Callithrix jacchus: one gene and its partners. The protein of the gene in region 1 interacts with the protein of each later gene in a pairwise test. Links are inferred from orthologs where the notes say so. Each region holds a gene or a part of one and is shown in the gene's direction. Other genes may lie near its edges.

Region 1 (10,623 bases):
AGGGACACTGGGAAGCAGTGTAATGAAAACTTCAGCGACATCGTGATTATTGATGCTAATGGGAAAAATAAACTGATCTAACCCATAGAGAACCCAAGCCTATGAGATTTCCCTTTGGTATGCAGTTTAACATGTAAGCATTCAAAGATGTGATTCAGATAAAAATACTCAGCTCCATAGTGAAAGACTTTTTTTAGTGTGTTACTTCTGGTTTAGCTACTAGCCAGGGAGGTGGTAGCCCAGAGAAGGCTACTCACATATACAGAGCACCTAGAATTGATTATATGAGTCTGTGCTTTTGAGCTCTTTAGGCAACACATTCTCATTCCTGTCGTTATCAGTTGAACCTTCATGCCACACATTTCTAAGAATTAAATGCCCAGATGGATTAAATGTAGTATGTGAATGTTCTACGTAAAAGCCAATAGAGTATGCAAGTGACTTGAATGATTTTTCCTAACTTGTTTGCAACTGATAGCTCATATTGAATGTTTTTATGTAAACTTTGTATTGTTGGGAAGAATTACCCAATCAGAGATTTATATTTTCATAAATGTTACATTTAGTTAAATTTTGTTACAGAGTTGTTACACTAGAAAATTATTTCAGTCTTCAAACAATATACAGTCTTGTGTATGTATTATTTGTATGAATAAAAGATAAACTACTTAGATTGGCGTGCTGTTTGTTTTTCTCCCCCATTTTTGGCAGATGTGATTAGAGGCCTTCAGTAATAATAATAATTGTTCATGTTTACTGAGTGTTTATGTTAATCCACGCACTGTACTTGGAGCTTTGTATGTACTTAGCCTTTTAATCTTCACAAGAGCCCTGTGAAGTAGGTCCTGTTAGTATTCTAAATTTATAGGTAAGGAAACCTAGAAACAGGGGTCCAGGGAAAATAGCCAAACAAGACTTCAGTGCACTCTCAATGTCTTTTTCCTTAACTCAAAGTCCATCAGAATAGAGCATTTAATAGCCAGTAGGCACTTAGCGATTGATAATGACCTGTAAGATACTTTCCAACTTGCAGGTGGGAGATGGGCTAGGCTCTGAAGATCACTGGAGGTTGCTCAGGTTTTTCAGGTATCCAGAAAGAGTTAATGAATTCATTCATCAAATATTTATTTGGTCACACATTTTGCCAGAAACACAAAGGTAAATAAAATAGCTCATGCCTTCTAGGATTTAGGTTTTAACAGGAAAACAGGTAGCAACAAATCTCTGTGTAAGTGCAGAGGCAATGTGCTTCCCTCTGAAGATGGGGAGGAAGGAGGAGAAGGATGATGACTGAGGAGTCGTCTTGCTCATAAATTCCCTTTGGTGAAAGAACAGGACCAAGGGGAGCCTTCCCATATGCCCTGTCTTCCATCTCTTGTCTCTTGGATCTGCGAATCCACACATGCACCAAAAAATATTTTTATAAAACAGAAACAGAGCAGTATTGGTGAGCTTTGGTGATAATGCATAGGAAATAATTAGATGAAGTCTTGTATCTGGTTGTCATGAAATAATTGTTCTCAGAGAAACTTTAATGTTTTAAGAAAATAAGAAATTATTCTGGTTTATTGCCTGCATCATGTGGCTGAGACTAACGTGCAATTTACCACCAGTGAAAATTATTCCATTACTCACAAATGGTAATATCCTTTAGGTTGAAAAGGTTAAACCCTTCTCCTTTCAGTTCTCAAAGAAAATGTAGAGAAGTTAATAAATATTTGAAAAAAAGCATTTTAAATAAATAGAATTTGCTTAAATATCTTCTTTCCTAGAGTAAAGGACACAACAAATAATGTTTGTTTGCTATGCCCAAGGCATTATGCCCTGGAATGATTTCAAAAGTCATGCATGACTCCTGCCACACAAAACCCTACAGTCTAAAACAGACACAGCTAAACCAGATGAGACTGATTTCAAAGTCTGTAAGAGTGAAAGCCAGGTGCTGAGGATACACTACAGAAGAGCAATTAATTCAACCTGAGTCTCAAAAAGGTTGGCCCAGAGGACATATAGCTGAAGCTAGAAGAATAATTAGGATTTAGCTGTCAATATCAGAAAACATTTCAGGTAAAGGAAGCTGCATGAGCAAAAATGGGGAGTTGAAGCATATTTCAGCTGACTTCAAATGCTGATGGGATTTTAGACTTTATTCAGTAGTTAGTAGTGTTACCAAAAGCCAGGGGCTCAGCCTAGGTAGGTCCTGTTGCTCGCTACACAGAAAGTCAATCACTAAGGCAATGAGTATTGTCAGGGAAGAAGCCTTTATTATGAATGATATTAGCCAGAGGGACAGGAGACAAGACTCAAATTTGAATCTCCCCTGGCTAAAGTTAGGGTTTACGTGGGGGAAGAAAACAGGCGGGGCAAGAAAGAGGAGCTGATTAACAGGCAGCAGGTGTCTAGCATCTCACTGTAACCTCCTATAGGAAAACAGAAATTAGGGAGGGTTGAGGAAGAGGAATTGGTCAACAGGCAGCAGGTGTAAGTTTCCCAAGCTTCAGCGCTATCAACATTTGGCTTTTTGGAAAACTGGGCTGGTCTCAACAGGAAGCTGGGAAAAAGTGTTGAGGAAGGACAGTTTCTTTGTCAGATGGTTTTCAGATGGAAGAGATCAGAAGCTGGGAGACCAGTAAAGACATGTCAATGATCTAAGTTAGAAATGTTAGAACCCGTTCTTAGAAGAGTGACAGTGATACTGCTTAGAGTAGGGGCAACTCAAGATTAATTTCAGGGCTTAATGGATAGAGGTGGTTGATGAAGGGGAGAGAAAACTCAAATAATTCCAGTTCCAATTGAAATTGAGTAGATAGAATTATGAATGTAAAGCGAACAGGGATGAAAATGAGGAAAATCATAAAATAAACTTGCACCTAGAGAGTTTAAAGATAAGACATCCATCTGGCCGATTAGAAATATGCAACCTATCCCATGGGGAAATCTGAGATAAAAAGAACCCACTCAGGCCGAGGCGGGTGGATCACGAGGTCAAGAGATTGAGACCATCCTGGTCAACATGGTGAAACCCCGTCTCTACTAAAAGTACAAAAAAATTAGCTGGGCATGGTGGCGCATGCCTGTTATCCCAGCTACTCAGGAGGCTGAGGCAGGAGAATTGCCTGAACCCAGGAGGCGGAGGTTGCGGTGAGCCGAGATCGTGCCATTGCACTCCAGCCTGGGTAACAAGAGCGAAACTCCATCTCCAAAAAAAAAAAAAGAACCCACTCGGTTGTTTCTTTCTCAGGTGCCCTTACTACAATGCCTAATATGGTGTGGGGAGGTTTTTGGTTATAACATAAACTGATGCCATAATTTTTTTAATGTTGTTTCTTTTTTACAACTATTTGACAAATTTGGAACCATGTTGATAAATCCACTCAAATAAATTAGCTTTTCTATCTTTCATAACTCATTGGCTGGGAACAATCTACGTGCCAATAAAAACATGAGCACACCTAAAAAAATGAAATGAATCATGGTGTTTTCATCCTGCCATGCATCAAGAAACCGTAGGTTTTGCTTCCGTATGTTTTGCAAGAGCCCCCTCAGATCTCAATTTGGCATTCCAAGAGAGCTGCAGGAAGCACAGGTTACACTTTATATGGACACACGGAGGGGCCAGTTCCAGGGTATCAACATGACAAATTACATAATACTGGTAATTTAGGGATACAAATAAAAGCAGCACCTCTGGTTTTATAGAATGCCAACCCTCACTATTTAATAGAGGAGGGGAACTTCACCAGCTACTTGTGTATATTCAGAGCATGGTTCTCAAACTGGAGTGGGTACCACTTGCTAAAACACAGATTTCTTCACCCTCTCTCCCCAACTATTTCTGAATCAATACGTCTGGGGTGGGGCCTAAGAATTTGAATTTTTACTACATTCTCTCAGATTATACCAATGCTATTAGTCTAGGAACGGTAAACTTTAAAACCCAAGACAGGCTGGGAGCCGTGGTTCAGCTTGCAATCGCATTTTGGGAGGCCAAAGAGGGCAGATCACTTGAGCTCAGGAGTTCAAGACCAGCCTGGGCAAGTTAGGGAGAGCCCACCCCCATCCTAGTCTCCACACACACACAAAATTAGCTGAGCATGGTGGGCTGGTGGGCATGTGCCTGTAGGCATTCCAGAGGCTGAGGTGGGAGGATCCCTTGAGTCCCAGAGGAGGAGGTTGCAGTGAGCCGAGATGGCACCGCTGCCCTCCAGCCTGTGCGACAGTCAGACCCTGTCTCAAATAATAAATAAATACCCAAGACAAATACCAACGCCTTTTTGGACAGATAACCTACCTGATAAATGTTTCAATATCCTGTAGACACCAATTAAGTGTCGACTTTATTGGACATGAATGCCATTATTGACAAAGGATGTAAAACCACATACAATTTTCGGCAACAATCTACCACTTTACAGCGTGCAATCCCAGCGCTGCAAAATTAGAAGGATTCAAAAAATGGAGTCTTCAAACTTCCAAAAGCCTGGCAAATGTCATGTGAATGCGGCTGGAATCGTTAAATTAGATACACTGAAAACCCAAGGACACAATGTTCATCCTTAGATAATACTCTGTCCAGCTGTCTCTCCAATATCCTGTTTTATTCTCTCGCTGGATGAGTTGAAAAGAAGAGAAGAGGGTAAGCTAGGTGGCGCAGTTGCTTAACACATTATTTGTTTATTTATTTATTTATTTTTTGGCAAGCCCAGCTTTTGCTTTGGAGCACAGGTGAAAAGAATGTCCTGTCCTTAAGCAGAGTTCTAGGGTAAAGCAACCAGTTCTCCATCCACTTAGGAATATGGATTGGAACAGCTACGAATGTGGAGCTCAGGAGATTGGATGCAGTGTTGTGGCCAAGGTCCTAAGACCTCCGGAAAAGAAAGGGATGGTGGGGGAGTGGGTGAGGGGGGGGACAGGGAACCATGAGTTCACTGAACTCCCACTGCGGCCTTTAGGTTGCAGCCGAGTGTTTACAACTTCCCTGGCTATTATCGTGGTGGTGGCGCCCCGTTCTTGGTCCATGTAGCTTCTACAGGGCTGGCGAGGGAGCTCACAGCTGGTCTAGGCGGCGAATGCCAGAAATGAGGAGGAAACCGAAAAATGCATGTTCGCGGGGTTTGGGAGTACACATCTATTTGCCAGAGCGTGCATTTGTTTATCCCCTACTCCAGTCCAGGATCCTAGGAAGCTTGCTTCTCTCCAGCGCAACATTGAAGTAGGCACCACGGAGTGTCCCGGGATGGCAGTGGGCTGGCATGGTCGTTCGCGTTCCGAGGTCAACAAGCGCTTGGATTTTCTGCTTCAGTGCGCCCGGGACAGCAGCTCCGACCCCGGAGACGTCGAACGTCGGACTCCAGGGGTTCGATCCCTGGCCCCGCCGTATCCTCCCGGAGCGCAGGTAAAGGGTTACGCGTGTCGGGGAGGCTCGCCCGCGGCCGGGGCCACGTGACACGCGGGCCCAATGACCGCGCCGGGGCGGCCGCTGCGAGCTCGGCGGGCTCCAGGCAGCGCGGAGCTGCTTGCGTTTCTTGGCGCGGCCGCCTGAGGCCGGCGAAGCCATGGGCGCCGCGACCCCGCCGCCGCCGTCGCCGTCCGACCCCAGGTAGGGACCGTCCCCCGTCCCGCGCGCGCGAGGAGGGTTTGAGTCCTGAGGAACTTGGCTTTAGGGCGCGCTTTCCCCCACTTCTCTCCGTGGTGCCTACTTTTAATTTTAATTTTTTGATTTGCTTTTGCCCTGAAAAAAAAAAATTAGAGAATGGAGAGACGCAGTTCGGAGTTTGATGACTTTGGGAAGAGTCTCGTAACTCAACAAAGGGGCTGTAAAAGGGGCAAAACTGGGGTAGGAGGAGGCGGACTTTTACAGATTCCCAAAACTAAACACCAAGGCGTTGGTAAAGCTTGGCGTCTGATTGGTTGTGTGAAACATTTTTGCTTTTAAATCCCTAATTAATGAACTTTCAGCGGTGCGTGCGAACTTGAAAAACTGCAAGAGATTTTCCCTTAGCTCTCCCTCCCCTATTTTTAAGCATTTTTTTTTTTTAAATAAAAAGGAAATGGAATGTGACCTCTGCTGTTTCTTTGAAATGTCCTTGAATCTCGGGATTTGCTCCCCTCCAGGGGTGCTGGCGGCCTGGGCGGTGGATGGGGTGGGGGGGAAGAGGTCATGGTGCCAGGAGGCCGCACGTAGTGAGAGGGTGCCAGGTGCAAACAGTTAAATAGTCACAAACTGTTTGCTAAATATTTAATAATTAGGCAAGCATCTCCCAGGTTGATTACTTGGGTTGCATTGACGTTGGCAGCCCTGGTGAGGCGAGATTTTCACAAAGCACCGCTGAATAATTTTCCAGTGATAAAAGGCAAGAATCAATGCTTTCTACCCCAGCACAGCAATTGACCTCAAAAAAAAAAAAACCTCCCTCTGATGACTTAGTACATTTTATGTTGCTTTCCATGGTGGCAGAGATATCTGCCCCATGATAGATATTTGCCCTGTGAATTTAGAGGAAGTCTGTGCTCCAGAGGTGGTTCAAATCATTGAAGAATAGAGGTCTATTTTCTTTCTGTCACTATTCATGGGAAATATTACTGATGATCCGTGTCGCCCAGGTTTGTGGGTGTCCTTGGTGGTTGCAATCAAGCAATCTCTTGTGAGGACTAATACCTGGAGAAAAGATAAGAAGCATTTGAGAGTTGAATGAGAAAGAAATGGAGAGGGGTTACTGCTTTTAAACATAATAGAGTCTATATTTGCTGCCTACCCCTTCCCACCTCATTTAATCCTTCAGTTAATACTATTTGAAGGATAAGACAAATGTTAAAGGCCATAGACCACCCTACTGGTCCCAGCTGGGAAACACTGTCAGGAGGCAGATAATTGAAACAAGGTACATAACTGAAACAATTTGAAGCTTAAAGGTAAAGTTAAGTTCCAGAGTTATTTGTATTTCCCTAAAGTGTGAAGAGTGCCTTAGTCACTGAGGAACAGACGCTGAGACAGCAAGGGAAGATGTGCTTCCTTCTTTTCTCAGCCCACTCTGTGTCCATCCTGTGATCCTCCTCCATCATTTATTCAGCACGTGTAATCCTGATCCTCAATGGCTCCAGAGATTTAGATATATATTGATACCTAAAGAGAAATAGGGCCAATTCTCTAAAGAGAATAGAAATCTTTGCCATGCTTCAAAGAGCTTTTTGCATATCTGAGATTGAAGACAAAAACTTGCATACCAACATGTTCTATTATCCTAAACATGGAATGACTCCCTTGACTTCCCACCCAGACCCTTTCTGAGCCTGGACACACAACCTGGTTAAGCTCCAGCCAGAATCCAGTTGCAGCCTAAGGCAGGGCACAGGTAGGGCACTGCACAGGTAGGAACGGCCCCTCTTCTCCTAGAACAGCCCGCTCTTGGTGCCCAGAAGCCCATTCACTGTGTTTCTTGGAATAGACTTCAGTTTCCAAATAATTGAATAGCTGCCTCCTGGTAGCTGGGTTTCCTCTCCCTAGACTGTGTTTCACATTCCTCTAGTTACACAATTTTTCTGATAACCCTGAATCTTGGGATCTTTTATTAGAGTCTTGGTTAAATAGTAACTAATTACCTATGTCCTGCTTTTCTTTCTTGGTCATTAGACAGATTTTCTTTCTGGTTGTTCTTTTTGGTCATTAGACAGATTACATGCTTACAGAGAGACTTTCTAGGTGTGTAGAAAAGAAGAGTTGGGAAAAGTCAAAGGGGTCATCCTAGGGGAAGCAGACTTGGAGTCTTCACCTTTGTGCAGATCAGATGGGTCACTCATTCGTGGCCTTTCTAGAGTGCCTGCTCTTAACCAATGAGCCATCCTGTGTCTCTAGTTGTAGAGATTATTTGATAATCTACAGTCCTGATGTCTCTAGTTGTAGAGACACAGGATGGCTCATTCCTTACTCTGCTGTTTAAGAAAATAAACTGTAGGCTGGGTGCAGTGGCGAATGCCTGTAATCCCAGCACTTTGGGAGACCTAGGTGGATAGATCACAAGATCAGGAGATCGAGACTATCCTGGCCAACATGGTGAAACCCCATCTCTACTAAAAATACAAAAATTAGCTGGGCGTGGTGGCATGTGCCTGTAGTCCCAGCTACTTTGGAGGCTGAGGCAGGAGAATCGCTTTAACCCAAGACGGGGAGATTGCAGTGAGCCGAGCTTCCACCACCACATTCCCGCCTGGTGACCAAGCGAGACTCCATCTCAAAAAAAAAAGAAAAGAAAAGAAAAAGAGAGAGACAATAAACTGAAAAATGAAATTGTTCGTCTACTTGCGCCATTTTTGCCTGAGAATATTATAGTCCCACAGAGGCTAGTTAAAATCTTCAGGACTGTAGATTATCAAATAATCTTTTCCTAAAGCATACTTGAAACACCAAGCCAATGAATATGTATCCTGAAGCAGAACATTAAGACTCAAAATGCTGACTCAGTGCTGTCAGGCACTGGAGAAAGATGTCCCTGAGCTACCATGAATATGAACGAATGACAAAAGGCATCTTGTATCCAGACTTCATCACAAGTGGCGAATCCTGTTCTGTTCAGCATGCAGGTGCTTCTCCAAAAGTAAATGAAACCCTGACCTGGCCTTAGAGACATCATGTGTGTAGACCCAGAGACACCAGACGGCCGATGAGGTTCTGAGGACACAGTCCTTGTCTTCAGAGATCCTAATCTTGGGAGAGACCGTTGAAGGATTTCAAGCAGAGCAGATCTCTATTTTAGCAAGTTCATGCAGGCTGCCATGAGAATGAAACAGAAAAGAGACAAGCGAGACCAAAGGCAGCTGCAGCAAAAATCCACATTAGAAGAGAGAAAGAAGTGAATTGATTCAAAAGATATTTAAGGAAGCATTGGTGTTTAAGATTTTAACTGTAAGAACCCGTTAGGTGACTTGAAATCTCTGACGTCAATTTACATGTCATTTCAAAATACATTTTCTCCAGGTAGATAAACTTAAGTCACATTTCATTGCAATGTTCTTCATGTGGATTCTAGTTCCTCTAGGGCTTCTCATGGTTTTTAATCACAGAAAAAAAGTTTCTAGTATATAGCTGGCCAATTACATTTCACATTTTTTCAACAACCTAGTGCTTCTTTCTGCCAACTTAACTATATAAATCTGAAGGCAAAGCTAAGGTAAACTGTTGCCATCATATACACATTCTCTGATTTAGCTTAACTCCTTCTGGGAGCAAAATCACCCTGACATTTGATTAACACTAGTGGAACTGGACAGTAGAGTAGCCTTTCTTTTTTATTGTTTTCAGTTGACCACAACGTGGCCTGCTATATATCACAGAGAGGATTGTATTGTATTTGTAAGAGTATTAGTGACATGCGAGAGGCTATACATAATGCCTGTGTGACAACAGAAGTCACCTTGGTTATTGACTCATTGCCACATGCATAGCTTTTTAATACAATGTGTATTTGAATATATTCTAAATGTATTCATTCACTTGATCACTAGTTGCAGAGTAGATGTCTACACACAGGAGTTTTAAATTTTGATTTTGGTGTTAATTCTTTTCCCTCATTTGATAACTGAGTATCATATATATCTTGGTTATTAATGTGCAGTAAATACAAAGATTTGATTCCGTATAGCTGTAAAATAGTGTCCCTTTTATTTAACTAGATTGTCAACAATCTTAGGCCTCCAGAATATTTATTGTAACCTAGAAATGCATAAAAAAAGTCCACCTTTACCTTCAAATTGTTGATAAGAGCCACATACTTAAGATTCTTACTAGAACTTATTTGACATTATTTCATTTCTGATTCCTAATGAGCTCCATAGCAAGGAGATCCACTTTATAGTTTCAATGTACAGCTCTTAGGATAAGTATGAAATGTGGTTACAGCCAACTGCTAGGCAGCAAAGACGATACAGTGAACGTGGTCTGTGATTAACCCTAAGTCTGCAAGAAAAACGTTCAATTGTGTTCAACACTATGTTAGAAAGGAATAGGTACTGCATTTTGGTAAAAAGGACACTTGATCTTTGTTAGAGCCGGAAAATAACTTTAAAAGTTACTTGGTGTAACCACTTTCATTTACGGATGATGAAACAGTCTCAAAGACGTTAAATGATTTGTCCAAAGCCGTACAGCTGCCCACTGGAAAAGCTGAGGAAACCAGAATCTCAGAGTCCCAATTCCTGGTTTAGTCATCTTCCTACCTCTGACTAAAAAGCACAAATGTCAGTATTATGAACAACTCATTCTCTGTTAAGTATAGTATTTTCCAAAACATAGCCACTGCTTATTGAGAAATTACTTATATATTCAGTATCGGTTCTCTATTGCTGCGTAACAAATCACCACAAACATAATGGCTTAAAATAGCCACCGTTTATTGAGCTTGGGCTTCTGTAGATAAGCAGTTTGGGTGGGCTTGGCTGGGCAAACTACTGTCTTTTCCAGGCTCTTTCATGCATCTGTGGTCACCAAGGCAGCTCTACCTCTCAGTGTTGGTGGACCATCAGCCACGTCATGTGGGGAGCAGCTGAGCCTCCTCTCTTTCATGATTTAGCAGGCTAGCCTGGGTTCATCACATGTTGGCTCAACTTGGTTGCAAGAGAGAATGGAAGCAA
Region 2 (10,729 bases), on another chromosome or scaffold:
AATGCCTACCTCCACACACATGCTCAAACAAAATCAGTTTACTTCCTTTTTTTTTTTTGGAAAGAAATAGTTACAAAAACAGAAGAGCAAATTTGGTTTTTATACAATGAAACATGCTTTCTACAGATAAGCTTCAACAAAGGTATAACTCTAGGGCCTTGAGGTTAAATGATGGTGAGCCCTAGGTTTTCCTGTCTGTGAAATTCAGACCTTAAGTGGCACCAGTTGGAGACTCCTTTACCCTCGCCTATGTATCTTATCTCTGGGACGAATTTAGAAATGTTGGCACCCAAATTTGTAATATCTTTGCAGCCCACACAGTGTGAATCTAATTGTGCACAATCAACACTTTTGCAAAGGCAAACTAGCATAAAGACATTTTCAGAAGGACTACTGTATAAGCAAACATTCTGTGTGGTCAACTGACTTTGTCTATCAAAGTGCAAACTGTCTCAGTGTGTGCATTATAGAAGTACTGTCCAATGTCCAATGGTTCTAATTCAGTAATTGGTTACTCAATTTCTTTATGCTGAATATGACATAAGGTGCTCAAGACTAACAGGAGATAGTAAAGAAGTATATGGTCTCTAAGAGTTAATAATGTAGTTACTTAAAACACACTTTCCAAATTTTAAGGACTAAAATTTTAAATTTAGTCCGTATATTGTAAGATTAAAAAATAATAATAAAAATAAAACAACAAAAAATCTATCCCTTATTTGTGTATGTTAATTCTGATCCCAAAAGCAGTGTTTAACCTTTGAAATTTGCTTAATTAAAGAAATAGGCTCTTCTTTATCTTAGTGCCTGGTTCAAGTACCATTATTATTTTAAAGGGGGAAAACACCATTTTAGGATTTTAATTTTTGATATTTTGTCCAAATAAGGTTTCACTTAGAAGTGAATGTATAAATATAAGGTTTTGTATGCTTTAATAATTCATGAATATTCAAAGTCTAATGAATACCAGTTTGATTCCAGCTAAAATGGCAATTGACTGGAATCAGACTGGTATTCATCAGATTTTGAATATTCATGGATTATAAAAACAGAAAAAAGGAAGGTTAATTATCTAAAATTTATTCCAGCAAAAACTACCATTTTTAACTGGAGTCAGACTGGCATTCATTAGATTTTAAATATTCAATTATACTTAGAAAAGTAATGTATCCTAGTATGAATACAGGCCTCTAGAAATTAATGACTGGGGAAGAAAAGGCCATAGAATCATAGATTACAAGAATTTAACAAAAAATATAAAATATGTTTTTCTCTTTTGCTAAAGGTGTGTTTCTCAAATAGTTTTCTTTATATGTATTCCCCTGTCTCCTTCTTCACCAACACCATTTGATCTTGAACCTTTAATTCTTGCTCTTTTGTGCTGCATGCATCAGTGAAACCTCCTCCTCCTGTTAAAGAGAAATCCACACTAGCTTATTTTTACTCAATAGGCTTAGAATTAGAATTCTACAGAAAAGACCAAAGAATATTGAAATTTGAAATTAATCAAGGTTTTTGGCTAAACAACAATCATCTCCAGAGCAATTTCCATTCAAGAGAGACATTATGCACTCTGTTGCTTTTCCTTTCTCATCATATATATTCAGTGATAGCCATACACAAATAATGAAAATAAAGAGCAGAGTAAGTAATATGCTTATAACACAGGTAGCATTTTACATAGAATTATAAACTGCCATATAATGAACATTTTCAACACCAATCAAGAAAAATCTTTAGATTACCTGAGATTGAATGTGACTATCAACTAATGAATCAAAAGTTCAAGGTAAAAAATAAATGCCATATATTGCCAATGATATTCTCTCATTTAAAAACATGGTCTTCTTTTTTTCAAATGATATTGAAACCCATCTCTTTTATTGACACAGTAAAAAGAACCCAAATCTTGGAAGTAGATGAAAAAATCAGTATTTTAATACCACAAACTCATTCATTCCTAATGAGATTCTAGTCTTTACCACACTTCAGAGCAGAAGACCTATAAAGAGCTGGGATACAAAGTACATCTTAATTTCAACTGTTTAGCTATTTATCTTCTAACCATGTGCTTGCTTATTAACTGTTTCCCAGTAAAACTCTTTCAAACAGATCTTTTAATAAAGGCTCTGAAAAAATTTCATTGCTAGTATTATAATTATTACATAGGGGAAATAACCCAGTGACAACAAGTATTCAATTTTACAAAATGAATTAGTAGGGTCTGAGAAAGAATCTAAGACTGATTCAAGACAATCCCTTTAATCACAAATAACCAGGGCAAACACAGTCTTTTCCAGGTGTCATCCTAATACCCACTTTTTTTTAACCCCAAAAATCATTTTCACAAGGCCACATCAGCTATGTGAATTAACAGATTCTCCAGTGCTGTAGCAAAGATAAAACCTGATCCTTAACAGTGGTTAAGTTTAGCAGCTACTGCTGCTTTTTCCTTCTTCTAAGCAAAAAAAGGTTGCTTTTTTTTTTTTTTTTTCCTGTTTTTGATACTTAGCTGATCTGCTTAGGGGTAATAAAAAAAGCAGCTGTTTTCCTAAGATCTATCTGTCTATATATTTCTATGGTATGTGAGAGTGCGGGAGGGAAGAGTATATACACTAGGTTATACACTAAGTCACTTAGGCTTATCGGTAGTAGCACTCAGTAGGACTGAACTTTAAGCTGGGAAGAGAATTCATTTGAGCCATTTCTTTTCAAAAAGAAATTTGGAATGCATTACAAAAATAACATTTAAAATCTTGAGAACTCAGGAAAGCATAGAAACAGGAGAAAACAAGGCAATTACTCCATTTTATTGACCCTAGTTATTTAAAAAAATCTAGATTAAAGTATTGAGACAGACTCCGAAATATACAACTGTCACAATGAAGGCATTTCAGAGCAAAATTTGCTGCAATATGCTACTATGATTAAAAGCCATGTAATCTGGGAACCTCTGTAACAAAATGAAAATGAACTAGGAAAATAGCTTCTTACTACTTCTCTAAAAATAAGAGGCTGTAATTTTGTCATAATTACACAAAGGTAGGTGAGACTTGCATCTTTACCTGGCATGACAACACATTTCCATCCATAGGTATTACAGTTACATTGCTTTGAATACACATATGGTCTAATACCGAGAATAAACTATTATTTTATGACACTACATGTTTTAAATCTGAACCCACTATCATAACACATATTAAGGGTAATCTTTAAGTGCATACTCTCTAACCAGAGAAAAGATTCCCATACAGCTTTCTATGCACTCTTGTTTTTCAAATGTACACATATTATCAGACACAAATGAGAGAATAAGGAGCAGCAGTGAAGTACACCATATGTTCCCATTGTACGCTGAATCCAGGTCTTTGTTCCAATATTACAGAGCCACTGGAAAGAAAGCTAACTATCCATTCATTAAAATTCATTTTTACATTATTGCTGGCAAAAGTTACACTTTTGATAGATTAAGTCAGAGCCCATCCTATCCTGACTATTCCTGCCTGCATTTGCTTCTTTAAAACGGATCTCTTGCAATTCTAGGAACCTGCAAAATAACTACTCTGGATAACAGGTCGGTAGCAGGACAATCTGATAAACCAATGTAAAGGGTAGACACTGAAGAAGAACGCAAAGTTCTTTTCCTAGTGAAATAGTTCGGAAGTCATTCTATATCAATAGCACAATTTTTCCTTTTTAGAGGCTACGCACCTATAACATCCACCAGATAACATCCACCTCATCCTCTATTAGCAGGGTTTTTCTCAATCTTGAGATCTCCCAGAACAGTTGTACTGGTGCGACTCAAACCAAAAACACTAACCACGCCCTTTATGCCCAGAATCAAGCTTCCTTTTGCTTTTTTGCTCTTAAAGTCCAAAAATGTAAATCTTTCACCCGAGAGGGTTTGCACCGGTTTCCTAACCCAAGGCGGACTCTTATAGCTGTGTCTTGTAATTCCCATTGGAAAACATTTCCTCCAGGGCAGTGCAGACGCCCCGAAGAAGGACCCCCCCCCGCCCCGCGCTTACCTCCCACACACCTGCAACCCCTGTCAGGATTCTGGAGCTGGTGCCGGGAGGGCTGCGCTCCGCTCCGCGCTCGTTCCTGCTTTCGTCTCTCCCGGGAAACTACAGCCCAGACTGCGCCTCCGGCTTCTACGGGGACCCAAGCTCCGCCTCCCTGTCCTCCAGTTGGCGAATTTGGCAGCTGTTGCTCCTCCCCCTGCTGTTTCTGCAGCTGCCCGGGCCAGAGGCAGCGGAAAGCAGCTGCCTTGGTACCTTCCCGCTCCCCGCACTTCTGCAGCTGCTCTGCTACTTCCTCTCCCCTGGGGGGGGTCCCTCTCCCCTCCTCTGTGGCCTCACACCTGGAGCTGCCTCTGGCCCCACCCAGGCGTCTCTGCCGGGAGCCCCGGCTCAGCCGATCCCTCCCCGACCCGTGGGTCAGGTTCCCCGGCGTGCGTGGGGCTTAGCTGCTCTTGGGGAAGCTGCCCCTCCGTCCAGTGCAAGTCCCTACACCAAGCCCTTCCTTCACCCGGGAGATTTCCCGGAGGCTTCCTCTCTACCCGCAAGGCATACTCAGCCCGATAGCCCCACGTTCCCCACCACGGGCCCCTCACCCACTTCCTTCCTCGGTTCGGTCAGCCCGCCCCCTCAATGGGTGAGGCGCCTGCCGGCCCGACCCCGCACCCTGATTGGCGCAGGTGAGGGTTTGCCCCGCCCTTCCTCTCCTATCCGTGCACCATCTCTTTTCTTCTCACCTCCTCCCGCAAAGGAAGGGAACTATCCTGCTATTGGCTAGGAGTGTCCCCACCCATCACCTCAGGCTCCCCCGCACGGCCTGCCGGTAAGTGTAGTCTTCCGAGTGCAGGAATTACGGACAACACCGGCAAGCAGGACTACGAGTCCCCATAGGCCTCTGCGCGACTCCGACTGGGCAGGATTCCGGACAACGCCTGGTTCCTCTCGGGTCCTTCCGGCGTCGCCGGAGTGAATTGATCCGGGAGTTGAAGAGGGCTGCAAAGGTGGGAAGTGAAGTCAGTGCCTCAGTTGCTGGTAAGATGTAGCTGTTCTGTCCCAGTCCCCGTAGCTCTCCACTGAGCAGAAGAGGTCTAGGGTCACGTAGGGGCCATAGCTGAGGCACTCGGGCTTGGTTCTGGCAGGCGGAGCGGACGGGGCTGGGAGCGGGGCCCTACGGGCGTAAGCGAGGTTACCCTACGCGAGTGGCGTAAAGCCGGTTTGTAAATGCCGCCTGCGGGCTTGGGCCCGAACGCCTCCAGGAAGTCTCCTTTGGGTGGGGGCGGGAGGGGAAAGGCGAGGTTGGCCCCTGGTGCCCCAGGAGCAGGGAGAGGGCGGATGTGCCTGGGGTGGGGTTCTTTAAAGGTGTGGCTTCGGACGGAGAGGTGAGGCTGTTGTTTTCCCCTTGCTTTGTAAGAGAAAGGGAGGAGGAAGGAAAGGGTGCTTGGGAGTCTGCTCTTGGGGTGACTAGGGTTATGCCCTTTGAGGGAAGAGGAGCACTGGAAGAAGGAAGAGACAAATGTTGTGGTCTACGGATTCAGTTCCAGTTTAATGATGTGGCTCCTCTAAGGAGGTAATTTTGCCTTAAACAGAAAGGCTTGACCCTCTTAGGTGTCATACCTAAGGTATGTTTACTCTTTTACTGCTTTCAGAGCGCTTTCATGTTGGGATGCTGATGAGGAAACCGAGGGATTATATGACGTGCCCAAGGTCACACACGGAGGGACAGACTTTCTCAATCTAGTCTGGTTCGAGTCCAGCTTCTAAACCAGAGCTGCTGCCCGACAGAGAAAGATTGGGGATGTTGGTTGTGTTTTTTGAAAAGGGTGGAGGAAGTTGCAAAGTAAATGTATTTCATATAGTACATCTAAGAAGCCATTGTGAGATGAAAAGTTGTTTCTTGAACTGAAGTGAAATTCCTCAATAAAGGAAAGAACCTTTTGGAAAAAATAAAAAGGGTCAATTTCAACTTTTACAGATTTTCCCCCTTTTATTGGGGGTGTATTAAAATATATTCTATTCTCACAGTTCATTTTTAAGGGTAGGTAAAGGGATGGGTGAACAACAGTTAAACAATGTATCCCTTCCTTAATAGAATATTCTTTTTCTACCTTAGGACTCTTTTTACTCTCATTTTGTAAAACTGATAATAGTGGGATTGGAATTCTTTCACAAGACTTCACACCTTTTCCAAATAATGTAGCCTTAGGAGAGTTTAATGTGCTTATTACTAGAAAAGAAGGTATTTTGCATTTCTTAGAGGTAAGATCCTATCGTTTGAGATTTTACTTTTCCCCCATTTTCTTGACTCTAGGCTCTTTGTGTATGTGTGTGTCTGCAAATAATAAAATCAGACTCTTGCATATTTTTTTCTTAGCATCATCTGTGACTTTTAAGTCATTCTTGTTTTACATTAAAGAATTTTTAAAAGTACGCTTATATTTTATATCTTGGAGAAAGTAGTGCCCTGTGCCAGTCTTATCCGCTATAATTGTTATGACCAGTTATATCTCATGACTGTTATTACTGGGTAAGTTTTTAAGGGAATTGTAATAGAATTCATTGATGGTAGAATTTCTTTGTTTTAACTTTAGATCCATAAAGGTTAGCATGTAGAAAATCATGGCTTATTCTTAGCATGTAGTAAGTCATAGGTTACTGTTTTATAGACAAGTTGATCATTCGACTATGCTGAATTTTGAATGTACTCTGCAATTATTTTAGTATCAACAATGTGCTTCACTTTTTAATGCAAAAATATTTTTTCGGAACAGAGATATGTTCCTGGATGATTGAAATTAAGATGGTCTGGAAATTAATGCGATTTTAAAATAGAAAAATTATGGTGCTATAGAATGAAGTAAAATCAGGAATAATGTGCCATGAGTAATAATAGTACACAGACAAGAAAGAATCAGTTAAACAAATGAAACATTGTGTGAAGATAATTGACTTCTTTATTAAGAAGGATTAATAATCCTTAATCTTGCTGGATTAAGAAGGCTGCGGTAGTGTAAGTAGACCATAAACTGAACATGTATCATTGATGGTAAAGCAAGAATATTAATGTATTTTCTAGATGACAGTGTAGGTATTTGCCTTTTGTTGAAGGAGGTATAAAATGAGTTCTAACCTTTGGCATGTAGCTATGTCATTATGGAAAGAGCTTTTGAACTGTGAGGAAAATTTGGAAATAAGTTAATATAATGCATTTGTTCAGTGTATTTTAGATTTCGTTTTCTTGTTTCAGTTCTAACACTAATTTCTCTTTATCTCTGAGGCCAGTTATAGTTTCGGCATTTCTTCTCCTGGGCTGGTGGATTAATGTTTGTATTGTATTTATCATCTTTCAGTCAGTCACATGCTGGAGTATCATGGTCACTTTAGATCTCTGCACCTTGGTTGGATAGTTAAAGAGTTCACAGAGTTATATATACACATGTATTCTAAGCGTAGTTTGCAGCTCACCAGTGTCTGCATTTCTTCTCATTTTGGGCTTTGCAGAAGCCTTATATCAGCTTCGGGACATTATTTCTCATAGGACTTAAGATGTCTTCCATGTATTATACATCTGTCTTTTTCTTTAAGGATGTAAGGTCTGTAAGAACAGGTGCTGTGTATTATTTATCACTGTAGTCACAATAGGTAAGATAATATTTACAAAGAGAATGAAGAGGCTCAAGTAGGTTAAGTAACTTGCCCAAGGTCATGCAACTACTTAACTGGTGGGAGCAAGACAAAATTGAGATCTTCTGACTACAGATCTTTAATATTGTGGAGTAGAGACTTAGTTCCCTTATTTACATGAGAAAAAGACTTAATGTGACTTAAATATTCAAATACTATTACCCACTTACTCTGTTTAACACTAAAAATTTATCTCTTCTCCTATCCAGCTCTCCATCCTTACCTCCAGCCTTTTTCATTTATGATGCCTTTCGCTTACTGCATAAGCTGCTTCCTGACATGGTGGTCTTTACATATTCCATCTCACTCCTTGGACAGTTCAACTCTTACCTTCCTAAATGTGGCCACCTGGTAGTCAGTTTTCATGTCTCAATTTAAATATCATTCCTCAGGGGAGCCTTGCCTTCCTACCCAAAACCAGCACAGGTTGCCCCTGTGTATTCACCATACTCTACACCTTTGTGGCATCATCATAATAGAAACTTAATTATTTCTGTTTTTATTTGAACAAATATTTGTGTGCTCATTGAACTATAAGCTACCTGAGCAGTGCCCTCTCATTTGTCATGTTTTACCCCAACACATATGTAGTACCTGGCACAATGTAAGGGTTCAGTAAATATTTGCTGAATGAATGAAGGAGTATATTCATGCACAATGCTTCCAGCACTTTTCTGGGGACAGAAATATAGAAATGAATAAAGTAGATAGGCTTTATGGATTGAAATATATAAGAACTTTAAAATGAGCTATGTAACACTTAGGCAACTTAGGTTATATGCAAAGGAGTCATTGACAGAATTTTAATATAAACTTTAGAAAAATGTGTATTTTTGGAGGTCTCTGAAATCAGGAATAATTTTCTAAATGAAAATGATAAAGGAATCACGTTCATTTACAGCAAAATTACTGTGTAACACAGCATTTTAGAGACTTACCACTGTCCTGCTTTTTTGCAGGTAATATTCATTGTATAAAATATAGGCATGGACTACAGACTTTAGACTGTAGACTAAAATATAGACTTCTATTGACTCTTCTTTCCTAGTGTTATCTCATTTTGTCCTCAAAACTTTTATCTCCTCTAAGTAGTAATATTAACACTGTTTCGTAGCTGAAGACATCAAGAAAATAAGTAAATTTACTTATTAAACGCAAAAAAGTTTAAATTGCTAGGGTTTCCAGAAAGTAGGTACTAGAACCACGGTTAGACTCTGGATCTGTCTCCGCATTCTAAAATCCATGCTTTTTCCTTTTTCTTTGCTTTTGTTTGTTTGTTTGTTTCTTTTAAACCATGCTGTCTTCCTGTGACTTAGACCTTTAATGTCACTTGATTTAGACAAGGTGGCTTTGTAAAATTTAGTAGTTTTTGTTTCAAAGGAACTTATATTTGGGGTTTTCTGAAAATTTTTGTAGTGCTAAAGTGAATCTTACTTGCTTTAAACCTATAGACTTAAGTATAAAAAGATCATCATTTTTAAAACACGCAAGCTGAATTTTAGGGATAAATTGTGTTAGGTTTTGGTCTTGAAAACAAATTCTGTAGTTACTTGCTGTACCACAGTATGGTCTAGAATAAGGTCGATAGCCCTGTATTTCTGTAGCCTTGTATGCCTTTATGAATTTACCTGTTTACTCTTTCATAAGATCTTGTCAAAAAGAGATTGCTGATATTTGGCTCTAAAATTCGATAATACTATCTATTTTATTAATAAAAGCAAGTCTTTGCTAAATCTTAAACTTTTTAAAAAGTCAGTGTTGATGTTACTTGAATCTTGGATAAAATTTTCATACTTACCTTGCATAACCAGTATGTGGAGGATAAAATTCAAGTACTGCTTTTTACATGTTGTCGGACTATTAAGCTCATTATGATAGGCGTTACTAAGAATTTTAAGCCACTTCCATGATAAGTAATTTTTTCATAATATAAACTGTAACAATGATTTAGAAGTTAAATTTCATTGTTATCTATTTATTGCACTTGAAATATAGTAAGCTTCAATGTTAGAAGCTTATGCTTTAGGGATAAACACACACAAACACATAATATAAAAAATGAAAGCACATTTATTATAGCAATTAGAAATAATTTATTTGCTGGAAGATAAACATTGTGGTTTGGTGGTTCAGTTTTGTTTGTATGAAGATGGAAATTTCAGTTTTCTCATTTAAGCTACAAAATTTAAATGTGTCTTAAGTGTATTATATTACCCTTATTTTTCAAGCTCACCCTCACATTTTTGGTTATGTATAACCATTTTTAAAATCACCCAAAAGTGATTTTATGCTATTCAGTTTTATTCTTACACAGTTGATAGAATCAAGATTGCCAATAGGGTTAAAAGATAAAGGAAAGAATTTTATTAACAAGCTTATGAACTACTGGGTAACAGCAGTGGAGCATGTTAAGTGGTAGTCACTAACATGTATTCAGTCAGGCCAGTCCCTTGGGAATAAGTTTACCAGAGGTCAGTCTAAATAATGATCCTTTGATTCATTTACTTATTGAATGCATATTACCTGTGAAATTGCCTTAAACCTTCTTGGGAATGAGCTGGAACCTAATACAATAGCTAGTGTTTATTGAGTAGTAAGTGACTTAGTGCTAGGTCTCAAGCATTTTACAGGCTCTCTTACAACAACCCTTAGAGGCAGAGGCACTATAATCTCCAATTTTTAAATGAGGAGACTTTACAGAAAGGTTAAGGACCTTGCCTAAGGTTGCAGGAAAAGTTACTTGGAATTAGGATTTGAATCCAGGCTGGCTGCCTCAAGAGACCATGCTTTTTTTCATCAATACAGTAAATGTAATGATGAAATTATATTTCATCATTGATGTTAGCGATTGAACTCCATTGGAGAGAAGTTAGCATTAAGAGTTGTAGTTACAGAGAAGTTATGTCTTAAATTCTGAGGCCAGTGTGGCAGGCAGGAAAGTACTTACTATTCAAACTTTTAAAAACCCTATTAGGAAGTACACATTGTAGACTAACAACTTCAACACAGCATATTTTTTTCTA
Region 3 (10,097 bases), on another chromosome or scaffold:
AGATCCTTTAAGGGATTTTGATGCAAGATCTGGCTTTAAAAAAAAAAAGTTAAACTGTTTATTTTGAGATGATTTGTATCAGTTGTAAGAAATAATAGAGACCCCCCCTGTGTTCTTTACTCAGTCTCTCCCATTAGTAACATCTTGCAAAACCACTTTAAGATACAGCAACCAGGATGTTGATGTTGATACATTCAAGATACAGAACATTTCTATCACAAGGATCCTTCAAGCTGCTCCTTTATAGTGATATTCCCTTCCCTGCCATCTTCTCCTTAATTTCTGGCAAACACTCATTTTTTTCTCCAATTCTATATTTTTATTGCTTTAAGAATATGCAAAACATTTTCTAAAAGTTAGTGTTAGCTTCCTAAATGGCAAATACGGTTTGTGTCATGATTAAGGTATAATTAATTAATGGCAGCCTAACTAGTAGTATAGCTCTCCAAAGAAAACATTACAGATGTTAATGACTGCCTCTTTTGACCAATCACAGAGTGGAAAGTAGTGAGTACACTTTCAAAGAGCTTAAAATCCAGAAGAAGAAACAGATGTTAAATAAGTAGACAAATATAAAACTACAAATTATTGAAAATATTTGTAATTTTGGGAAATTTTAAAATTTTATATTTGAAATTAAACATTATTGAAAATAAGTCCATATCATTCTCTAGTCACTCTGCTTTGAAGAGCAATGAGAAGAAAATTAGATAGGTTCAGTGAATCCTGATAACTCTCTAAGTGGAATATCTTTAAGCCCCAAACTAGACTTTTTTGCATTGAATACTAACTGTGGCAAATTCCATTCACTCGTTTATGCTGGCTTATTTTTACCTTTAGTTAAAGTTATTTGATGCTTTTCTGTCTTTTGGGGAATAGGAGGAGGGGAAGGATATGTTGCAGCTTTTTTTCTTCCACCAAAGGACACATTTCAAATGCTGAAAATAGTATTATAAAACCAATAGTTGATTATTAAACAACTCCATTTGTAATTTAGAACATTCTCTGTTAATAGATTTCCTGACTAAATGCCTGAAAGCACGTGATAATCATAGCTTTATAAAAATGCATATTAAAGAATGTTTTTATATAAGCCTATAGATATGTAGGATAAGTTACAAATCTGTTTACCATAAAGCATGCAACATCTGTCAAAAAAGATTACTGTGGTGGGGTTTAATTTAGTGTAGCTGAATAGTTTTATCAGCTATGGTATGTGTCTGAAATTTAAAAGCTGTTGTTTTAAAATAATTCTTGGACCCGTTTTCAATTGTAGATAAAAACAAAGTATGGAAATAATATTTTGAATGTCTATGATAAACATGTTGGAACATACGTTAACATAATTTCCTGGTAGGGCTTACTTTAAGTTTTGAAGTTATTCTACTTTGCTTATTTTGTTGAGTTACATTTTAGGTCTTAAAATTTATTACCACATAATAATTTATATTTAGAATTATTTACTGATAGTTGGGAGAAATAGAAAGGTACGTTTCCAGATGGAGAGAAACAGTTTCAAAGGCCATTATCATTGTATTTTTGCATTATCAATAAGGTTTAGTTAATTATAAGATTATAAAGAGATGTTGGGAAGTTCAGTGAGAATTTTCAGTTGTCACGTAAGGATTTAGCATTTCTCAGTTTTCTCCTGTTTTCTTTGTTCTATTTCCTCCCAGTCATACAATTAAACAGTTTGCACTTAACACTTAATCTTTAATTAGTTGTCTTTAATCAGAAAAGATTTGGATTACTTTTCTTTGGATATGCTGAATAGTTGGCCAAGTCTTCAGTAGAAACTAGACCAGTGGTTCCTATATCCTAATTGTTAAATCAGCAGTATTTCAAAATAAATTGTGCCTATCATATAAAATTTGGAAAGCCAGGTTATTCAAAGAGGTAATTAATAAGACAGGTGAAATATACGTTCCTCAGATCCTTATTTTTCCAAATCTTTGTTCAGATGAGAGGGTGAGGGAGGATGGTGGCTATGGGACCATTCAGAAAAGGAAGACCATTTAAACGATTAGGCAGTGAAAAACTGACAGAAAATCTAGAGTTGAATCAGTTCCTAGATCTGTGGGAACATATATCTGTATCCTTAAGTGGGATCTCTAGTATTTTTTATTTCCTGAAAACAAAAAAGTATTTCATTTTGTGCTAGAACCATGAACATGTTTAATTAAATTTAACTGAGGATGATTTTTTTTTTTGGCTTTGGCTTTTGAAGTAGCCCTTAAGAATTCTGTGCACATCTTATTTAACATATTCAATGTTGTGTTTTTTGTGTGTCAATTGAGCAGGAGAGCTACTTAGGTTAAAGATATTTATAAGGGATTTATAGAACATATTTAAATATCTACCTTAAGCTGCCTACAGACAAGGTTGAGATTTTTAGTGTAATCTAGATAATCTAGAAATCTTGGCATTCAAAATCTGGATTGAACTAAGTATTTTTCTCAGAAATTCTGCATTTTGTTGGATTTTTGTCTTTCGGTTTATTGATAAATTGAATTATATTCAGTAGCATGAGGTAAGCATTTTTGTCTTTTTTTTAAATTGGTTTTTGAATGTTTTTTTTTTTCCCCCCTAGCCACTAGACCACCAGGGAGACAACTTTTTAAAGTTTTGATAGAATATTACACTTATATTTTAAAATCTGTACTATTCTGTATAAAATTGCTAGATTGGAAAAGAATTGTAGATTTTGATTATATCTATTAGTCATTTTTTTGCTTTTTGTTTTTCTTTGCTTTTTGTAGAGACAGGGTCTTGCTATGTTGCCCAGGCTGGTCTCAAATTCCCTGGTTCAAGCAATACTCCTGCCTTGGCCTCCGAAAGTAAAATTTAAAAGATTACATGTCTATTAAACACTTAGTTTCTTTTACTTTGTGTATTTTCATGTTACTTAAAACAAACTAGACTAGTTCCACATTCTTTAATTCAGAATGATAATCAATAGCTTAGATAAACTGAAATGCCATAAATAATATACTAGTATTTCTTGGGCCTTATTTCAGGTTTTTCTTTGACTTGATTCACTAATAAAGATCAACAAATAAATGATCAACAAGCACAGTGCAAACAAAGATCCGCAAAGTATGGATGTACAGAAAGAGGGAAGATAAGAGAATTCTAGTTGGAGTTATTACATAAGATGGAATTTTCTTGTCTTGTCTTTTTTTTTTTTTTTTCTGGAGACAGAGTTTCACTCTTGTCACCCAGGCTAGAGTGCAATGGCATGATCTTGGCTCACCGCAACCTCTGCCTCCCCGGTTCAAGCGATTCTTCTGCCTCAGCCCCCCGAGTAGCTGGGATTACAGATATGCGCCACCACATCCAGCTAATTTTGTACTTTTCAGTAGAGACAGGGTTTCTGCGTGTTGGTCAGGCTGGTCTCGAACTGCCGACCTCAGGTGATCCACCTGCCTCAGCCTCCCAAAGTGCTGGGGTTACAGGCATGAGCCACTGAGCCTGGCCTGCTTTTTATTTTTTATAGAGACACAGGATCTTGTTGATCTTGTTCTGTCACCCAGGCTAGAGTGCAGTGGTATGGTCATAACTTTACTGCAGTCTCAAACTGCTGGGCTCAAATGATACAACTTAGCCTCTCGAGTATCTGGGACTATAGGTGCAAGCCACCAAGCCTGTGTCTGTGTGTGTGTGTGTGTGTGTGTGTGTGTGTGTGTCCATGCACACATGTGCACAGAATCTCACTGGGTTGCTCAGACTGGTCTCAAACTTCTGGCCTCAACCTCCTAAAGTATTGGGATTATAGGTGTGAGCCACACATCCAGCCTAGAATGGAATTTTCATTCTACTGTCTTAAAAATCTAAGAGTAAATATCATTTTCCTAGATAAGCTGTTCCCAGATCTCCAGCCTAGAACTGGTAGACCTTTTTGGATCTCACATAGATAGTTCCTTCTACTTTTCCTTTTTTTTTGAGATGGGTTTCACTTTGTTGCCCATGCTGGAGTGCAGTGATGCCATCTTGGCTCAGTGTAACCTCTGCCTCCCAAGATCAAGTGATGTTTAAGTCAAGACCCCCTTGACTTAAACTCCGTAAAGGGTGGCAACAGAGGATATTTTGTCAACAGCATGTAACACAGTTTATATTTTGTTGAGTGAATATTAGCAAAGGAAAAGGATTGGTTTCGTTTGGCTGGCATATTTGTGAAAGAGAATAATGGGAACTTGGAAAGTTAAAAGTGTTGAAAGGAATTTGGGAATAAACTGGGTATAATAGTACCCCTTATCCAAGGGGTATGTTCCAAGACCCCCAGAGGATGCTTAAAACCACAGATAGTACCAAACCCAATAAATACTGGGTTTTTCTCTGTGCAAACATACCTACGATACAGTTTAATTTATAAGTTGAGCACAGTAAGAGATTAACAACAATAACTAATAATAAATAGAATAATTATAACAATATGTCAGCATCACTACTCTTGTAATTTAGGGCCATTATTAAGTAAAATAATGGTTCCTTGAACATAAGCACTGTGATATCAGGACTCTTGATCTGTGAGCTGGGATAGCTACTATATAACTGATGGGTGGATAGTGTATACAGCGTGGATATGCTGGACAAAAGGATGATTCAAGTCCTGGGTGAGACAGAGTAGGACGGCACAAGGTGTCACCATACCACCCAGAACAGTGTACAATTTAAAGCTTACCAATTGTTTATTTCTGGGGTTTTCTATTTAATATTTTCAGACTGGGATTGACTGCTGATAACAGAAACCAAGGAAAGTGGAACTACAGATAAGGGGGGACTACAATAGTTGGGTTGTAGAACTAACCTGGTAGCTATGTAAGATAGATTGAAGAGACTCAAGAGGTAAAGTAGTTAGAAGACTAAGAAATAGTAATGGAGGGCCAGGCGCGGTGGCTCACGCCTGTAATCCCTGCACTTTGGGAGGCCGAGGTGGGTGGATCACGAGGTCAAGAGATCGAGACCATCCTGGTCAACATGGTGAAACCCCGTCTCTACTAAAAATACAAAAAATTAGCTGGGCATGGTGGTGCACGCCTGTAATCCCAGCTACTTGGGAGGCTGAGGCAGGAGAATTGCCTGAACCCAGGAGGCGGAGGTTGCGGTGAGCCAAGATAGTGCCATTGCACTCCAGCCTGGGTAACAAGAGCGAAACTCCGTCTCAAAAAAAAAAAATAGTAAATGCTATGTAAACAGGGGTTATACTGTATTGGTTTTTCATTTGTATTATTTTTGCATGGTTATTTTTTATTGTTTGGGTTCCCCCCCCCAGATATTTTTTATCCATAGTTTGTTGAATCTGAGGATGTGGAACCTGTGGATATGGAGGGCTGACTTTTAATATGCCCTTATATAGAGGAAACATCATAAAACCTTTTTTCCCCTTAGATCATTACTTTTTGAGCATCTGGTAAATGTAAAGTACTGTTTTAGAAGCTGGAGGATTTCCGTAAATACAGAATATGGTATTTTCCCCTCAAGGATTTTACAGTCCAATTGGTGAAGGGAATATGTCGTGCATAGTACAGGTCAATAGGCAGAAGCATATGAATGAAACAAACACTAGGGGTCATGGTATATAAGAGAAGGGTGATCCAGAAATACCGGAAAGTCTCTATGCAGAGAGTGAGTCAAGACAGTGTACACAAAACTAAGCTTTTGGGCCCAGTTAATTAACATTGCTGTTTTTACTATTTCATTAGCATGTTGGCAGATAAACTGAACATGACTCCAGAAGAAGCTGAAAGGTGGATTGTAAATTTGATTAGAAATGCAAGACTGGATGCCAAGATTGATTCTAAATTGGTGAGTATTATGTTAGCTATGCTGTATACTGTCAGTTCCTGATTTTACTTTTAGGAATTCCTAACTAGGACCTTTTATTACCGCCTTTAATAATTTATTTTGTTTCAGTGTAAAACAGTTCTTTGAAGGCAACAGCAGCCTCATATTTTCTTCTTGCTTGGTAAATACTGTCATCTCTATATAGTGCATTAAGATATATGCAAAGGTAATGTCATGCTCATTACTTACTGAGAAAGTTGTTAACATTGTAGAATCTGTTCCCCTGTGTTTCCTTTTAGGGTCATGTGGTTATGGGTAACAATGCAGTCTCACCCTATCAGCAAGTGATTGAAAAAACCAAAAGCCTTTCTTTTAGAAGCCAGATGTTGGCCATGAATATCGAGAAGAAACTTAATCAGAATAGCAGGTCAGAGGTAAGAACCACACATTTTCTATTCTGTCTGGGATTTAGCAACCATGTAATTGTTACATGACGGTTTTGGAAGTCTGTCAATATGAATTGTAGCTGATTTTGTTTTTCTCTTTAAAGGTATGAACATTTTAAGAAATTACTTAACAGAAATGAATTTTTTCTTAGCTGTATTATATGTATTAAACATGGAAACTGAAAAAGAAATTGTATCCTAGTTTATTGTAACTTTTTCTTTTGCTTTTACTCTTTTTGTGTGACTTCATTAACTCATTTCCTCAGGGTTTTCAACATATCATTTTGATACTGGCAGATCATAACCTACATGTGTAGCCCTCTTTCAGGTGTTCAAAATGTATATTCTTTCTAAATCTAAAGAAACAGTTATGTAAAAATGTTGATCTTATCATATGTATTAGTCCTGATCTTATACAGATTTCATTATCTTTCATCTGATATTCATATCAAAAATTAATCTCCCATTTTGGTAGAGATCCTGCATATTAGATATTAAAGAAACTTGAATGGCCTTATAATTTTGGAATCCTAAACTATCTTTAATGTTGTTTAGACATTATGAATATGTGTAACCGGAGAGTAGGAAGTCATTAGGAAACAGTTGTGGGATATGCAGAAACCCCGTTTGATTGAAATTTTACAACAAATTTGTGTTGGCAGAATAGTCCTTTAGTTCTAAAGAGAAGGATGGATTCGAATGCGAATTGCATACTTTAACCAAGTTTGGAATAACTGAGCTTGAAAAATAACTTTCATATGATGTTTTTTTTCTGTATGCTTCAGGATTTATTTGTATTTTTTATTGTTCCGGTATTAATGATACTGTTTATTGCTATACATTTTAATTGGCCAAAAACTATATCAGATAATGATTTTGATAAGTTTGTTTTGTCCTAAGTGGGACACTGACATCTATGTAGTAATCACAGGAGTTGAGATCTTACAATGGTTTGGCAAGAGTAGTGCTAAAGTAAATGCTTTGTCACTTTCTTCTATGTTAGCTTTTTCCAAAAGTATTTTCTTTTTACCCTGTTGATTTCTTTTTGCATATTTTAGGCTCCTAACTGGGCAACTCAAGATTCTGGATTCTACTGAAGAACCATTAAGAAACAATGAAAAAACTATAAAGGAAAGATGATATAATAAAATTATTATGTAAAGGGTGACTTACATTTTGGAAACAACATACTGAGTATAAATTTTGAAGAACTGGAATAAAATTGACTATGATTCATTTTATCTTGCTGTCAGTTTTCTTGCATGTGCAAGTTTGTGGGTTTTTTTTACTTTATTTTGGAATAATTATATATTCAGAAGAAGTTTCAAAAATCGTACAGATAAGTCCATGTAGGCTGAACCCAGTTTCCCTCAACTTTTTCATTTTATGTTACTGTGGTACAGTATCAAAACCAGGATGTTAACATTGGCACAATGTGTGTGAATAGCTCCATACCATTTTATTACATATGTAGATTTATGTAACCATCACTGCAGCCAAGAGAGAGAACTATCACCATCATGATTTCCCTCATGCTTTTTTGTAGCCGTACCTACTCCCAAACAGCTCTAACCCTAGGGATCACTAATCTGTTCCTCATCACTGTAATGTTGTCATTATGAGAATGTTATCTAAACGGAATTACATAATATACAACCACTGAGATTAGATTTTTTATTCATCACAGTGCTCTTGAGAGCCACCCAAGTTGTCACATATATATGTATATACACACATACATATATATGTATATACACATCTGCACACACACAGAATCAGTAGTTCATTTCTTTTTATTGCCAAATTGTATTCCATGGTATTGATTTACCATATGGTTTATGGTACCTATTGAAGGATATTTTAGTTGTTTCCAGTTTGAGACCATTACAAACATAACTGTTGTTGCTTAATTTCTTAAAGTGGCTCCTCAGTCACTCACTGTATAGTTACGGAGACTAGGCATGTAGGTTGAATTTTATAAGTGTCTCCCTAATTGTTAAATGCAAGCACATACTGTTAACTGGATACTCGAGGCATTTAAGAGAGAACAACGCCCACATGGGGTCTCTTTTACGTCGAAGTGGCTTGATATTTCACTTTGGTTGTTGAACTGACAGCCAGTTAGATGACAGAAACTTGTCACTGCTCTCAAGGAGGGAGTTCAAAGATAAAAAGATACATATATATTGTCCTTTTATTTGACATCTGATCAGGCCACCTTCCATATTCAGTTAAGTTTGGAGACTACAGTAGTTAAGTTGCATCTGCCCTTGAAAGAGCAAGGAGACCTCCCAACATTAAACTTAGCATGGGGTTCTATAAACTTTTTCTGTAGAAGTCCAGATATTAAATCTTAGGCTTCGCAGGCCATATGTTCTCTGTTTTAGCTATTCAATTCTGGCATGTAGCACAAAAGCAGCCTTTGTATGTAAATGAATGCTTATGTCTGTGTTCCTGCAAAACTGTTAACAAAAACAGGCCAAGGGCCAGACTCGTTTGACCGGCTGTGGTTTCCAACCCTTGGCTTGGGGTATTGGTACTTCTAAGCTTTAGTCTAAGGATGCTGAAACTAGGAATATTATTGGTTGGGATAAGCCAAGCGCTAATTTTTTATTCATTCGTAACCAGTGTTATGAAAATGTTAAGTATCGGACAGGAAAAAATACAGAAATATAAAGAGGATTCTTGATAGTACAAAATGGTGCCAATGTGTGGTGTCAGTAACAAGATAGAGCAGACCCTCCGTATTTGTAGCAGCTAATTCCATGAATTAAAAGTTCCGATCTTTATCAAATAGAGCCATAGTTACACAGAACTATATAAAATTGTATAATTACTGAGGCTGTGTGTTATTGAGAAAGATGTTCTCAGTTGAGAAGGAAGGAAACAAGACCTCCATGTTTCCTTCTTCAACAGTAACCAAAGGGCCAAAAGTTCTTACATGAAGACATCATTAATCACCATTTAAGACTATAGCTCAACAGCCACATTAATAGCTAACAAAGATTTCTAGATGATTACATAGCTCAGCAGTTAAAAACAGTTATTAAATATGCCCTAGTGGACTAATAAAAGCCCCAGGTACAAAAAATAGCCAATAGTAAGTATTTGTCGTGTGTCATAGGAAACCAATAGTATTTATCCTGTGTCAGACTTTTTCATGTCCTCTGTTTAAATAAGGAGAAGGAAAGGAAACGTAACATTTGAATGCCTTACTTAAGCCTGGAAATACTAAAATTTAGGTGATATTATTTATATATTATTGATGAAGAAGCATACTTAGATGGTTACCTAAGGCAGGAGTCCCCAGCCTCTGGGCTGTGGACTGGTACCAGGCTGTGGCAGCATTTGACTCTCATAGGAGCGTGAACCTTATTGTGAACTGAGCACGAGAAGGATCTAGGTTGCACATTCATGAGAATCTAATGTGGCCTACTCCCCATCTGGGGAAACATCGTCTTGCACGAAACCGGTCCCTGGTGCCAAAACGGTTGGGGACTGCTGGCTTAAGGCAGTACTTAGCATGAGTTAAAGTAAGGAAAAGACTCTTCAGTTATATCACACTAATCTTCTTCCATCATTCCTTGTTGCTTTATAATTTGAAATTTTAAAGAGTTAAGAGATACATATTTAGTAGGTTGTGTGAATGGGGCTTGATCCACCAAACTCTAGGTCTCAGCACCATTATCTTCCAGTAAGAGCAAAGGGTCTTCTATTTTTCTACTGGTGTAATCATTGGATACTAGTGGCCCCTTACACACAAAACCTTTTGGAACATAGAAAACTCTGAAGAACATCTCTTTGATTTTCTTTTTCTATTTATACTCTGCTTCTTCAAGATTATCTATTTTATGAATAATTAATGCT

What was found.
Region 2: the proteins of PGCKA1 (region 1) and PDCD10 interact in binary tests that used the Homo sapiens proteins (3 or more experiments, as listed by UniProt). The two-hybrid records come from large-scale screens. The link is inferred for Callithrix jacchus from reciprocal best matches to the Homo sapiens genes PGCKA1 and PDCD10.
Region 3: the proteins of PGCKA1 (region 1) and EIF3E interact in binary tests that used the Homo sapiens proteins (3 or more experiments, as listed by UniProt). The two-hybrid records come from large-scale screens. The link is inferred for Callithrix jacchus from reciprocal best matches to the Homo sapiens genes PGCKA1 and EIF3E.

What each region holds. Positions count from the first base shown.
Region 1 is NC_133504.1:156,338,871-156,349,493, reverse strand, and holds the start of PGCKA1 (PDCD10 and GCKIII kinases-associated protein 1), read left to right. Parts: upstream 1-4,741; 5' UTR 4,742-4,855; intron 4,856-5,168; 5' UTR 5,169-5,395; intron 5,396-5,483; exon of another isoform or gene 5,484-5,599; intron 5,600-10,623. UniProt on the Homo sapiens protein: Acts as a tumor suppressor. Acts as a tumor suppressor for colorectal cancer cell proliferation by targeting KEAP1/USP17/ELK1/CDK6 axis.
Region 2 is NC_133518.1:19,307,131-19,317,859, forward strand, and holds the start of PDCD10 (programmed cell death protein 10), read left to right. Parts: upstream 1-4,969; 5' UTR 4,970-5,057; intron 5,058-5,229; exon of another isoform or gene 5,230-5,404; intron 5,405-10,729. UniProt on the Homo sapiens protein: Promotes cell proliferation. Modulates apoptotic pathways. Increases mitogen-activated protein kinase activity and STK26 activity. Important for cell migration, and for normal structure and assembly of the Golgi complex.
Region 3 is NC_133517.1:88,834,208-88,844,304, forward strand, and holds the end of EIF3E (eukaryotic translation initiation factor 3 subunit E), read left to right. Parts: intron 1-5,702; coding exon 5,703-5,805; intron 5,806-6,083; coding exon 6,084-6,218; intron 6,219-7,288; coding exon 7,289-7,327; 3' UTR 7,328-7,471; downstream 7,472-10,097. UniProt on the Homo sapiens protein: Component of the eukaryotic translation initiation factor 3 (eIF-3) complex, which is required for several steps in the initiation of protein synthesis.